Ovis aries: one gene and its partners. The protein of the gene in region 2 interacts with the protein of the main gene of each other region in a biochemical or structural test. Links are inferred from orthologs where the notes say so. Each region holds a gene or a part of one and is shown on either strand. Other genes may lie near its edges.

The links.
Region 1: of the proteins of LRRK2 (region 2) and ARHGEF7, one has a biochemical effect on the other in vitro, tested with the Homo sapiens proteins (2 studies listed by BioGRID and IntAct). The link is inferred for Ovis aries from reciprocal best matches to the Homo sapiens genes LRRK2 and ARHGEF7.
Region 3: of the proteins of LRRK2 (region 2) and MAP2K3, one has a biochemical effect on the other in vitro, tested with the Homo sapiens proteins (2 studies listed by BioGRID). The link is inferred for Ovis aries from reciprocal best matches to the Homo sapiens genes LRRK2 and MAP2K3.

The regions. Positions count from the first base shown.
Region 1 is NC_056063.1:84,836,458-84,840,102, reverse strand, and holds part of ARHGEF7 (rho guanine nucleotide exchange factor 7), read right to left. Parts: intron 2,050-3,645; coding exon 1,919-2,049; intron 1-1,918. UniProt on the Homo sapiens protein: Acts as a RAC1 guanine nucleotide exchange factor (GEF) and can induce membrane ruffling. Functions in cell migration, attachment and cell spreading. Promotes targeting of RAC1 to focal adhesions. May function as a positive regulator of apoptosis.
Region 2 is NC_056056.1:147,019,591-147,023,335, reverse strand, and holds the start of LRRK2 (leucine-rich repeat serine/threonine-protein kinase 2), read left to right. Parts: upstream 1-848; 5' UTR 849-957; coding exon 958-1,111; intron 1,112-1,248; exon of another isoform or gene 1,249-1,425; coding exon 1,426-1,511; exon of another isoform or gene 1,512-1,551; intron 1,552-3,745. Other genes in the region: uncharacterized protein LOC121819120, read right to left, coding at 232-822. UniProt on the Homo sapiens protein: Serine/threonine-protein kinase which phosphorylates a broad range of proteins involved in multiple processes such as neuronal plasticity, innate immunity, autophagy, and vesicle trafficking.
Region 3 is NC_056064.1:35,010,565-35,014,209, forward strand, and holds part of MAP2K3 (dual specificity mitogen-activated protein kinase kinase 3), read left to right. Parts: coding exon 1-64; intron 65-492; coding exon 493-570; intron 571-2,306; coding exon 2,307-2,446; intron 2,447-3,463; coding exon 3,464-3,509; intron 3,510-3,645. UniProt on the Homo sapiens protein: Dual specificity kinase. Is activated by cytokines and environmental stress in vivo. Catalyzes the concomitant phosphorylation of a threonine and a tyrosine residue in the MAP kinase p38.

The DNA of each region.
Region 1 (3,645 bases), on a different chromosome or scaffold from region 2:
AGGATGTCAAACTGCCCCGGGAGCCCTCTGCCAGCCCAACTGCTGGGCACACATGGGCGGTACTGGCGTGGGATGGGGCCCCACCATCAGGAGGCAGCAGAAGACGTGACCCACAGCCTCCCAACAGGCCAAGCCAGGCCAGCACCAGGACACCTCCCGCTTCAGGCAGCGACACTCCACGAAGGCCCAGACAGGGCAGCGTCAGCGGAGGGCAGGGCGGTCTGGACCCTTCACGCCTGAGGCAGACTCTCAGCCGTCGAGCGCCCCCAACCCTGAAGGATGACATGGGCCCAAGGCAGGGAGAGGACCACGGGCCACACCGTGCCAGCCCGCCCTCCCTGGGGCCGCCACTGCTGGCCCGGCCACAGCAAAGGGAAGCTTCAGTCACGAGCGTCTCATCTCGGGTTTCACCCTCCCCTTCAGGTCAGGAGGAGTCTCACCACGCTCCCTCCGAGCGGCTCACCGTGCCCACCACACAGCTGAGGTGGCCGCAGGCTTCCCATTTCTGGTGTGACAAAACTTCTCTAATGAAACACTAGTCCTATACTTACTATGATCTCAGCAACATTCATCATAAAAGGACATTTAACTGAGTAAAATTCTTCAATTGCAATCCAATCCTCATTTATTCAAAAACAAACAAAAAAAGCAAACGAGAAGAGCCTCAAGTGAATGGGTCAGGCAGCGAAGGTTTCTCTGCCCAAAGCTTGCTGACTTTTCGCGTGTCTTCCATGGGTATTTCATGAAGCAGCTGTTTTCAAGGGATCTGGACACCTTCCTTCTTTCGTCTGGACCACGATGCTCCCAACAGGGCCCCCTAAGTCCCTCCAGCCCCGGGGAGGTGGACGGTGACACGCGTCAGTCCCCATGAAGCGCTGACCAGCCGGCACCGAGAAACCGCGCCCAACGGGCGCTGTGCTGTTCTCAAGGTCAGAGACAGGGCTCCGGGGCTTCTCCGAGGGGAAGGCAGGCAGTCACGCACACAGGAGGGAGAGTCAGCCTGAACGCGAACAGTTCAAGAGGTGTAAAAACTATACCCCTTCTACAGTTTTCCATTTTTAACAGTGCTTCGTGACCTAACTCAAATGCATCTCTCTACAAGGCACAGCTCAACCAGGCCGGCTTTATCTCTCCAGGATCCCCACGTGCTTATGGAACAGCATCCCCCTATGGTGAGCAGAAAGCAGTGGCCTCTGAAGACTGGAAGGGTAGGTTCTCTTCAGACTCACATGACAAGGCCGCTGAGTTTCCAACATGAAATGGTTACTAGGATGTCACACGAAGCAGAGTCACAGCAGCGGCTGATGAAGCCGAGGGCCAGGCCAGCGTCCGCCCTGGGGGGCTTGGTGGCCCTCCTGCAGACACTCACCCTGGCCAGCGGACGTGGCGGCCGCCCCCACAGGCTCTGCTCGGCCCTGTTCATCACGGTCCTCGAGGCCTCATTCCCAGGGTCTGTGCTCACAGCCTGTCTCGTGGGGTCTGTCCAGCCCGGGGCCCCCGCCTCACCAGCACTCATGAGGGGGCCCCTCTCACACGCTGCAGCCGGACTCCGCAGTGTGCTATCACGCGCTCATAAAGAGAAAAACCACCTCGAGGGTCTTCCACGTTTAGCCTTTTCGTCATCATCTAAGTATGAGACATGGATTCTCGTGCCCCAACTTCTAATCATGTGTAGAGCAGGAAAGAAGACACCATGCAAGCAACGAGGAAAACACTTCAAAGCCCACGTCCGTCCAGATAAACAGAGGTGCATCTTGAAATAGGCCGACGCGACATGAGACCCGTGATAATCTAGCGATGAGCAAATGCCAGCCCCGAGAGCAGGGGCAAGGCAGCACAGGCCCCCGCCCCGTGCCAAGCGCCTCCCGAGCCCCGCCCACCACACACTCCCACCGCCGGGACCCCCGTCCACACTTACCAAACTGCGGTACTGGCCCTGGAACAACTGTGAAGTCCGGCCGTGCGCAGGCTGCGGTCCCAGGGAGTCAAAGGACTTGATCCGGTGGGAGGAGGGCCGGGCGCACACAGAGTCACTCCCCAGGCCGATGTCTGCAAGGCCGTCAAGGGGGCGGGCTGAGCGCCCTGCTGCCCACCCGCAGGACCCACCCGCACGCGCCCCCGTTGCCCTTCCTAGAAACCAGCTGCACAGAACACGTGTCGGCTCTGGCGTCCGGCAGTCTGTTCTGACCCTTTCCTCTCACCTGGGGAAAACAGGCCTCCCGGTGAATTCCGAGCACCACCCAGGCCTTGCCCCCTGCACCCCTGCTGCACGCCTGCCCTCGGGGCCAGCAAGCTGCGAGCCCCAGTGGGACCGTGCGGAGAAGGAGACTCTGACGTGCAACAGAAGCCCCTGGCCCTTCTGGCCAGAGCGGCCCCTCAGAGGGCGAGTCCCTCTGCACGAGGGCAGCCACACCTTCCTCACCTCCCAGGGCTGTGAAGGACCAGGGTGTCAAGGGCACCAAAGGCTCAGTCCCTGTTGGGGGTCTGGCCAGGACCACATGCCCCACCACCACCCAGCACGCCTAAGTCAGCAGCCCGCTTCACAGATGCAGCAGGACCGTGAAAGCGAGGCCACAAAAAGGCTTTCCAGGGAATCACTGCCCTGAGACGCAGGCCCTGGCAACATCCTGAAGCTGCGTGGGGGCCTTCCGTGAAAACATCCTGAAACTGGGGGCCTCCGGGCCCGCTCTTTCTGGCAGGTCTGTCTGGACTGGCTGGCACAGTGTCTGAGGAAATGCTGACTTAGTCATCAACAGTTGAGAGCCAGAGGACTTCCCAGGGAAACGGAGCTTTCCAGCTGCTCTCACAGCGCCCAGGAGGGTACCACAGGGTGTGCGCTCCTCGACTGCCCAGAGCTAGCAAGGCCCAGGCATCTAGGACTCCTGCCCTAAAACCACCCGGACAGTCAGTCCGCACGCAGCCCCTCCAGTTCTCAGGCCCAGATGAGCGCTGGCAGCAAGAGCCAGCGTTCAGCACCACCGTGGGGCAGGGGCCTGGGCAACTGTAAGCACAGAGCAGCGCCCAGAGGACACGCGTGCAGAAACTGCCCAGCAGCTGCCCCGTACCCGGTGCACGCTCAGGACCCCTTCGTGCCCCACCGCCAACCTTTCTCTGTCCAAGAGAAAGGCAAGGATCTGGCCACATGCCCGAGAACGCTTCCTTCGAGCGCCAGGAGCAGAGGGGCGCCAACGCGGGCCTCTCTCAGCGGGGCCGCCGGCAGCCCTGAGGGTAGCGCGCCTCACGCCTGCCGCTGTTCAGCCGCTCAGTCACGCCCGACTCTCTGCGACCCCGTGGGCTGCAGCCCACCAGGCTCCTCCAGCCATGGGATGTTCCTGGCATGAATACCATTGCCATGTCCTCCTCCAGGGGATCTTCCTGACCCAGGTCTCCTGCTTGGCAGGTGGATTCCCTACCACGAGCCACCAGGGAAGCCCGTCTTACACCTGAGTTGGCCCCTTATGGCTGACACCTGCAAAGGCACGGCCACACGTCACACTGGCTTCAAAATCAGACGCGAAGAGCAGCAGCCAGCAAACCAGAGGCAGAAAGCTCTCACTCGACAAAGCTCTAGCCTCTTGTTTAAGAGCTGCAGAGAGCAGCACCGAGCTCGCTCCAGAACATCCAAGCAGCTCTTTGTAGAGAAGA
Region 2 (3,745 bases):
GTTCATATCATTTACCATGTGTTTGTTTCTCTTTAGTTTCAATTGCAATGAGAATCCATTACTTTTTGGTGTGCCCCAATTTTCAGAATCTTACCTAGTGCAAACTCAAATTTTCAAAAGCTAATTTTCGTGGCCTTTTGGTCAACAGAGACTCAGTTAACAGGAAAAATGTCTTTATCTCCTTTCCTACAAACAAGTCGCAGCAACCATAGAAAAGCACATTTTGGTTGCTTAACTATGTCCATCCTTGGGGGCCGGGGGGTGGGAATTCCTCATCTCCCAATAGGGGGAACTCCAAAGAGAACGTTTTCCTAAAAGGGGCCAACTGGGCGGCGTTCTCTTTTCCCAAGGCCCCGATTTATATTCTTGGATCTGGAGATCTGCGGCGGCTTCTTTCTTCTTCCTAGTTCCCAGAGGTTCCGCGGGCTGCAGGAGACCAGGCTGGCGGGTCAGGGGGTGGCCCGGGGTGAGGACCGCACGCCTCCCGGGCCTCTGAAGTGCCAGGGGCCTGGGCGGTCGGCAGAGTCCGCTGAGTCGGTTTCTTCCGCGCGACTCCCGGCCCCACCACCGGGGCAGGCGGGATCCGGTCCCGGGAGGCTGCGCCCACCCAGGGTCTCGACTCGGCCGCGCGGGGGCCACGGGCGCGGCCTCACTCGGGCGGGCCGCTCTCGCTGAGTCCTGCCCACCCGGCAAGGTTCTGCGCTGGGCCACACCTCGGCCTTCTCTCCTGCAGGCTCCTGCTCGGGGTTTTGGCCTTGCGTGGGGGAGGAGGACGCTGAGGAGGAGGGCTCCGAGAGAGGGCGGGAGCCGCCGCCTTCGCATAAACAGGCGGGCGTGGGTGCTGATGCGGCTGGCTGTGAGTGCTGGCTACGGCCGGTGAGCTGGGCTCGTCTCCTTCCTTCCCGGAGCGGCCTGCCTTAGTGCGGGAGGGGCGGCCGGTTTGGAGCAGGGTCGGTCATGGCCAGCGGCAGCTGCCAGGGGTGCGAGGAGGAGGACGAGGAATCTCTGAAGAAGTTGATAGTTAGGCTGAACAATGTCCAGGAAGGAAAACAGATAGAGACGCTGGTTCAAATCCTGGAGGATATGCTGGTGTTTACATACGCCGATCACGGTAATCTTTTGTCTGGAAACTGTTCCTTACCGCCCGCACCGCCCGCCGCTCCCCCCCACCCGCCCCGCTCCCCCGCCTCCCGCTTTCCCAGGCCTTTTAAACAAACTTTCTCCTCCCAACTTTGTGGCCACACAGACCTGCACTCTTGAGAAGTCGAAAGCTCTCTACTTCTTGGGGCAAACAAGAGCTGACAATTCTAAAATTCTAGGAAGGTCTTGCGCTCACTTCTTCTGCTTTCTCCCTCCTCTTCAGACTTAAAAGGGGTGCCATGAATCGTGACTTTGCTCCTTTTCCTTAACCCCCTTCTTTTCCAGCCTCCAAGTTATTTCAAGACAAAAATGTCCACGTGCCTCTGTTGATCGTCTTGGACTCGTATATGAGAGTCGCAAGTGTGCAGCAGGTAAAAGAGTTGCTTTCATTTCGCCCATTTCCCCTTCTTCGGAAATAGGTGTTTTTCTACTGATACTTTGTACCCAGAGTTCAGGGTTATTTCTGAGATTTGTCCTGACAAACCAGTCTGTGGTTTTAAGATAGGAAGCATTGTTAAATCATTATCAAATGTTAACGGTGTAAGAGGGCCTACTCTGTGCTCCTTAATTATCATTAAGATGTAACTTTATATAATTAACTGACAGAATATGGATGGTGAGGGGAGGGAAATAATAATGGGTTGAGGTTTGGTTTCTTTCATTAGCTAGATTTGTTCCTAAGTGTTTAAAAGAAATTATTCTAAGATTCTTCCCAATGTACAGCATGTTCTAGAGATGACACCATTGTGAATAGTTTGGGAAAGAGGAATAATGAACAGTAATAGAATTAATAATTAAATTAATGAATTGAAGTTACTGGCAAACTCATAGGTTTAAGGGTTTCTTTTTTAAACTTGAAGACAGATTTCTAACCTTCAGTTGTAGTACACCTTGTATTATCTTAAGAGAGTAATGTTTTAGGAGTCCCTTGTAAGTTTAAATCTGTACTTCTCAACTATTTTTATATAAAATGAATGTAAAAGTGAACCTTTTAGAACCTGTGTCATAGGAAACCCTGAAATTTGTTAAATATATCAGATATATTTGAAAAGGAGCCTTAAGACGAAAATTAAGTCTGATACACCGTCAAAACAAAATTACTGCTTAAGGTTAACTTCCTTTGTAGATTTTGAGATTTGGGGAACTTCTTTGTAGATTTTGAGATTTGGGTAGTGCTAGTTTTCTCATTTGCATGTTAGATTCTAAACGGAAAGAGAATTGAACCTTGAACTCTATCGAGGTGCAATGTTTCTTAATATCTACTTGAGAGGCTAGACAGATGTAAGAATTATCTGAATCTCTGTCCGTATCAATTATCTTATGCTTATCTCTGTGTCCAGCTATGTCTAGCTTTGATGAACTATATGCCTAGCTTCTTTTATATGAAGATATATATATGTGAGATAAATGGTTACTTTTATTTTTCTTCAATTGAAGTATATCCCATCTGACTATTGATTTTCAGGCTGTTAGCAAATAAGATCAAGAAAAAAACAGAGGCATGATAAAGACACTGTTCTTTTAACACCCAGTGTCTGAAATTTTGCCTATGAAACATTCAGTCTCCCGCACTGGCCTTTTGTGCTTGCTGCTCTCCACCCACATCATCCTTCTTACTCGCCTCTGCTTTGGTGTTCAAAATTGCATTGTCTGTCAGACCCCATTCCTTGGATTCTGTTCTTGGCAGAGTCTCCTCTGCCAGGCACAACTTTGAACACTGGGCCCTGGGTAGGCTTGGTCTGCAGAGGAGCTAGTGCTAGACTTGAGAATCCAAGGGAGTCTCCAACATACCCACCTCCTAATTTTTCCTCATTTTAGAAACTGCCAGATCCCAGACATGTTTGTTTTGGGTAGTTATGAATGTCATTCAATATCCTTGCCCAGTAGGTACCAAAGACAAAGTATGGAAGAAAATAAGGAATTGTCTTTTGATTTGGTGATTTAATGGAATAGAATTACTTGTTGCAGCGCAGTATATTAACCTGCAAAAGGCATTATGTTTGTGTAGTTATCATTTGATTCTTGATGAAATCTGCTTCCCTTTCAGAAATCTCACTGAATATTTTTTTCTCAGAGTAAGTAGCTCATTTAGGACCACAGAGCTAGTAACAGAGTCAGAACTCAAGTTTCACACACCTTCAAAATCTTTTTTTCATAATATAATAGGTGCTGAATTCACAAACTTTTTATATAACTAAAGAGTATAGTGGTTTGGCACAAATATTGTGGCCATGCTTTGCCTACTGATGTTATTGATTTAAATTATCATTGATCTTATCAAAGGGATGTTTTAATACTCTACTTAAAAGAAAATATTGTCTTCTTCAAATTTATGCATATTACTGGTGAAATTAATATAGATATACTTTAAAGCTTTATACATTGAATCGGCTGAAAGTACTGAAGTAAAAGCACTTGATGAATTTAGGGAATTAAATTACCCTTCAAAAATGAACATCAAGGTTTGTTTTCAGAATTTAACATGACATTCCTGACTCTGAATTTTTATTTTCAATGTCTTTTCGTACTTTATTAGTTCTCCTTAATAAATCATAGTCTTTAGACAATTGGTAGTTAGGCTATTTGTCTTATAAATCTCTTTTCC
Region 3 (3,645 bases), on a different chromosome or scaffold from region 2:
CAGTGGTTACTTGGTGGATTCTGTGGCTAAGACAATGGATGCTGGCTGCAAACCCTACATGGCCGTAAGTGGGGTGCCCAGGTCATGCCCAGAGGAAACAGCCAGGCTCAGGCACCTTAGCTGTGTCCTGCTCCATCAGGAATGAGGCCTCCCCAGACCCCGAATTTCCTTCTAGAGGGAGTCTCCTGCTCAGCCCTCTCCACCCCTTTCTGACTGGCCCCACCGTGTCCATTTGGATGATAGGTTTCACCTCAGCGGGGTGGCTGGTGGGGCCTGTGGGAGTTGCTGATACCCCAAGGTGAGACCCCCAGGTGTGGCAGCTGTGTGGCAAGACTTAGGCTTCCACCTCGAGACCCCGGCCCTCACCAGCCTCAGCTTCCACACTTGCTCTGGGGGAGGTAGGATGGGTGAGCACTGGCCCCTACGTTTTGTGGGGGGCAACCAGACCCAGCTGAGGGGGCCTGGGTGACCCTGCTCTGGCTCCTCTTCCAGCCCGAGAGAATCAACCCAGAGCTGAACCAGAAAGGCTACAATGTCAAGTCTGATGTCTGGAGCCTCGGCATCACCATGGTACGTCCTGGGGCACCCTTGCTGGTCGGGTGGAGCACAGGTGGGGGCTGTGCCAGGTCTGTGAGCTTCTGGGGGCCAGATAGTCTAGCCTGGACAGAAGGGTTGGTTGGCTTCACGATGTGAGAAGAGACAGTGCCATCAAAGATTATGGGGTCCTTAGCAGAGTGTCCGCAGGTGCCTCACGCCCTCCCTGGGTTAGGGCAGCGTTATGCCGCTCTCGTCTGTGACCACTTGCCTGTTGGACTTCCTCAGGGCTCGTGCTCACTGAGAATGCACAGCCAGCCCAAGACCAACTGGCTCCTTGTGCACGAGGGCTTCACGACAGTGGCGAGGCTCAGCCTTGCCCTGCTCGTTCTTGCTGCTTCTCCACGTTTACTCCCACAGATAATGCTGTAGTATGTGTCTCTGTGCCCAGAGGCTGCTTATGTTTTCATTTTTTGAGCTCTTTTAGAAAAAATTACCAGGAGAGGAATGACTAGGTCCAAGGTTTGGACACTTCTCTGTTTTTGTTCTTGAGCTCTGGTGGCCACTGCATCCTTCTCTGCAGCCCAGGCAGGGTCCTCACTCCTGTGTGCCGGAGTCAGTGGAAACTATAGGAAAAAAAGGAGGCTGTCTTTGCCCTATGAAAATCCAGGGTCATAGCCGTTCCCGCCACACTGTGTCACCTCCATCTGTGGGCCTGTTTGTGTCTTGGCTGGAAAGGAGCCTGGGGCCTGATGAGAAGGTCCTTTCTGAGCACAACTAGTGACCTGTTTTGGTGTGTCTGCTTGAGACGAGGTCTCTCCTGTTTATTACGGTGATCGCTTGTCAGGGTAGTGGACTTGAATTTTCATGTCAGTGGTGATCGCTTCTCAGGGAAGTGGACTTGAATTTTCATGTCAGTAGTCAAAACTGGAAGCAGAGGTTGTGGTGAGACAGCCATTCTTTGCTACAGATGGCTCCTGCAGGCGAGGCGCGGGGCACAGGGGGATCTGGGTCTGGTGGAAGCGGTGAGGCCGTGGCAGCCCTGTGTCCAGGGAGTCGGAGAGAAACAGTGACAGCATCCGAGTGGAAAGGCTTCCTGGAGGCGGAAGCGTTGGACATGGGCTTACAGGTGTTGGTGGCTGGGTGGTGGGGGCTTTGTGGAGGAGGAAGGGCTGCGGACTTCATTTCCTAATGGGGCCTGGTGGATTGCTGCACAGTCCAGGAGATGAACCTCTTAGTCTAACATTCCTCCTGAAGCTCATGAAAATCATTTCATTTCCTGCTTGCCTTTTCGCTAATAACAACAGCCCACATAAACGGCAGCAGAAGCTAAGGTGTTGCTGAGACATTAGGGAGGAGGGAGTGGTCTGTGGGGAACTTCGAAGCTGATCACTCTTCTCAGGCTCTTTGGTGACAGTGGCCTTATCGGGAGCACCCCAGGCTGCCAGCCCTCTGATTTTTCCAGGTTAACTGGAACCTGGGTTTTAATGCAAAACCTTCTGAATTCAGATTGTTTGAAAACCCGATAGCCAAGCCAGTCAAAACCCAGGGTTGAATGTGTATCATGAGCTACAGTCTTTGCTGGCTGGGACAGAACCAACTCCTCTGTCCCCTTGGCTTTCATCTTTGGACTGATGTCACCTGTCAGCCCCTTGACCTGCCTCACAGCCCAGCTCTGGATGCTGGACCAGGACAGGCAGGATCTTTGAAGGCTTTGCTTCCGTGTGCAGAGCGTGGGTGTCTCTGACCCAGGGGTGCTATCTCCACTGCAGATCGAGATGGCCATTCTGCGATTTCCTTACGAGTCCTGGGGGACCCCCTTCCAGCAGCTGAAGCAGGTGGTAGAAGAGCCGTCCCCCCAGCTCCCAGCTGACCGTTTCTCCCCTGACTTTGTGGACTTCACTGCGCAGTGGTGAGTCTCAGCCCTGCTCAGACCTGAGGGCCTCCCTGAGCCCAGTCAGTGCCCCTCCCTGCCCCGGCCAGATCCCGTCCTCCCTGGGCCCGGTCTCCTTTTTGAGCAGACAAACCCCAATAACAGCATCAAAATAGAAGGCAGAAATAGTTAGAGTATAAGGATAATTTGACAAGCTATGGTCCTGGGAGGAGTTTTTAATACGGTTCCTCTAGAAACGGACAGATCACATAGATCAAAAAAGAAAATGAAGAGTATATGGAGGATTTAAATACACAGTAAATTTGCTTTTGTTGATGTGTAGAATTTTGTATCACATTAAAGAATGCCCACAAGATCCTTGTAAAGATTAATTATGTTTGAGATTACAGAGGAAATAAGGGAAAAGGCAGGAGGCAGAGTCTTATAGGCCACATTCTCTGACTGGAATTAGATGGAACAGGAAATACATAACTATGGAGAAAAAAAGCTACAAGGAAATTAAAAGTAAATTCTTCTAGTATACTCTTGGGTTATAAGAGAGATCTAAAACATACAATCATAAAGTAGTGAGAAGTGAAGACTTGAGAATCTAACATACCAACAGCTATGTGCTGTGGCCGGAGAGACGCTCAAGGGAGAATTCACAGCCTTTCTTTCGTTCACTGGAAAAGAAGAAAGTCTTAAAACAGGTGCGCCTGGCAGGCAGGATCATTCTCTCCCAGGACCCATGGTAAGGAGCTTCCTCTCTCGATTAAGGACACCAAGCATATGATGGTTAGTGGTAGCATGTTAGTGTTGGGATCGTTGGAAATCTCCTAGGTCACTATTGGTCCAGTCTCTCTGGTGGGCACCACGGATCCCACTCTGCCCTTGGAAGCCCCCAGGACAGTTCAGCCCTTTCTTTCCTGAGCCTCGGGAGCATGTGTGTCCCCTTGCTGCTTGGGCAGGGCCAAGCCCAGCCTGACTTGACTGGCCTGGATGGGCTGGATTCGCTTCCCTGCCATCCTGGCCCCAGCCTACCCTGTTCTCTCCTAGCCTGAGAAAGAACCCCGCGGAACGCATGAGCTACCTGGAGCTGATGGTGAGTGCGGGTGGGGCTCTCTGGGAGAGGGCTGCCTCTATGCACAGCGGTGGGCAGCTCCTCCGGCTTGCCTCTGCATTCATGATTCTTCGAGGGACTTTGTCGCTCATTCTCTCATTCACTGTGTCCTCCGGCT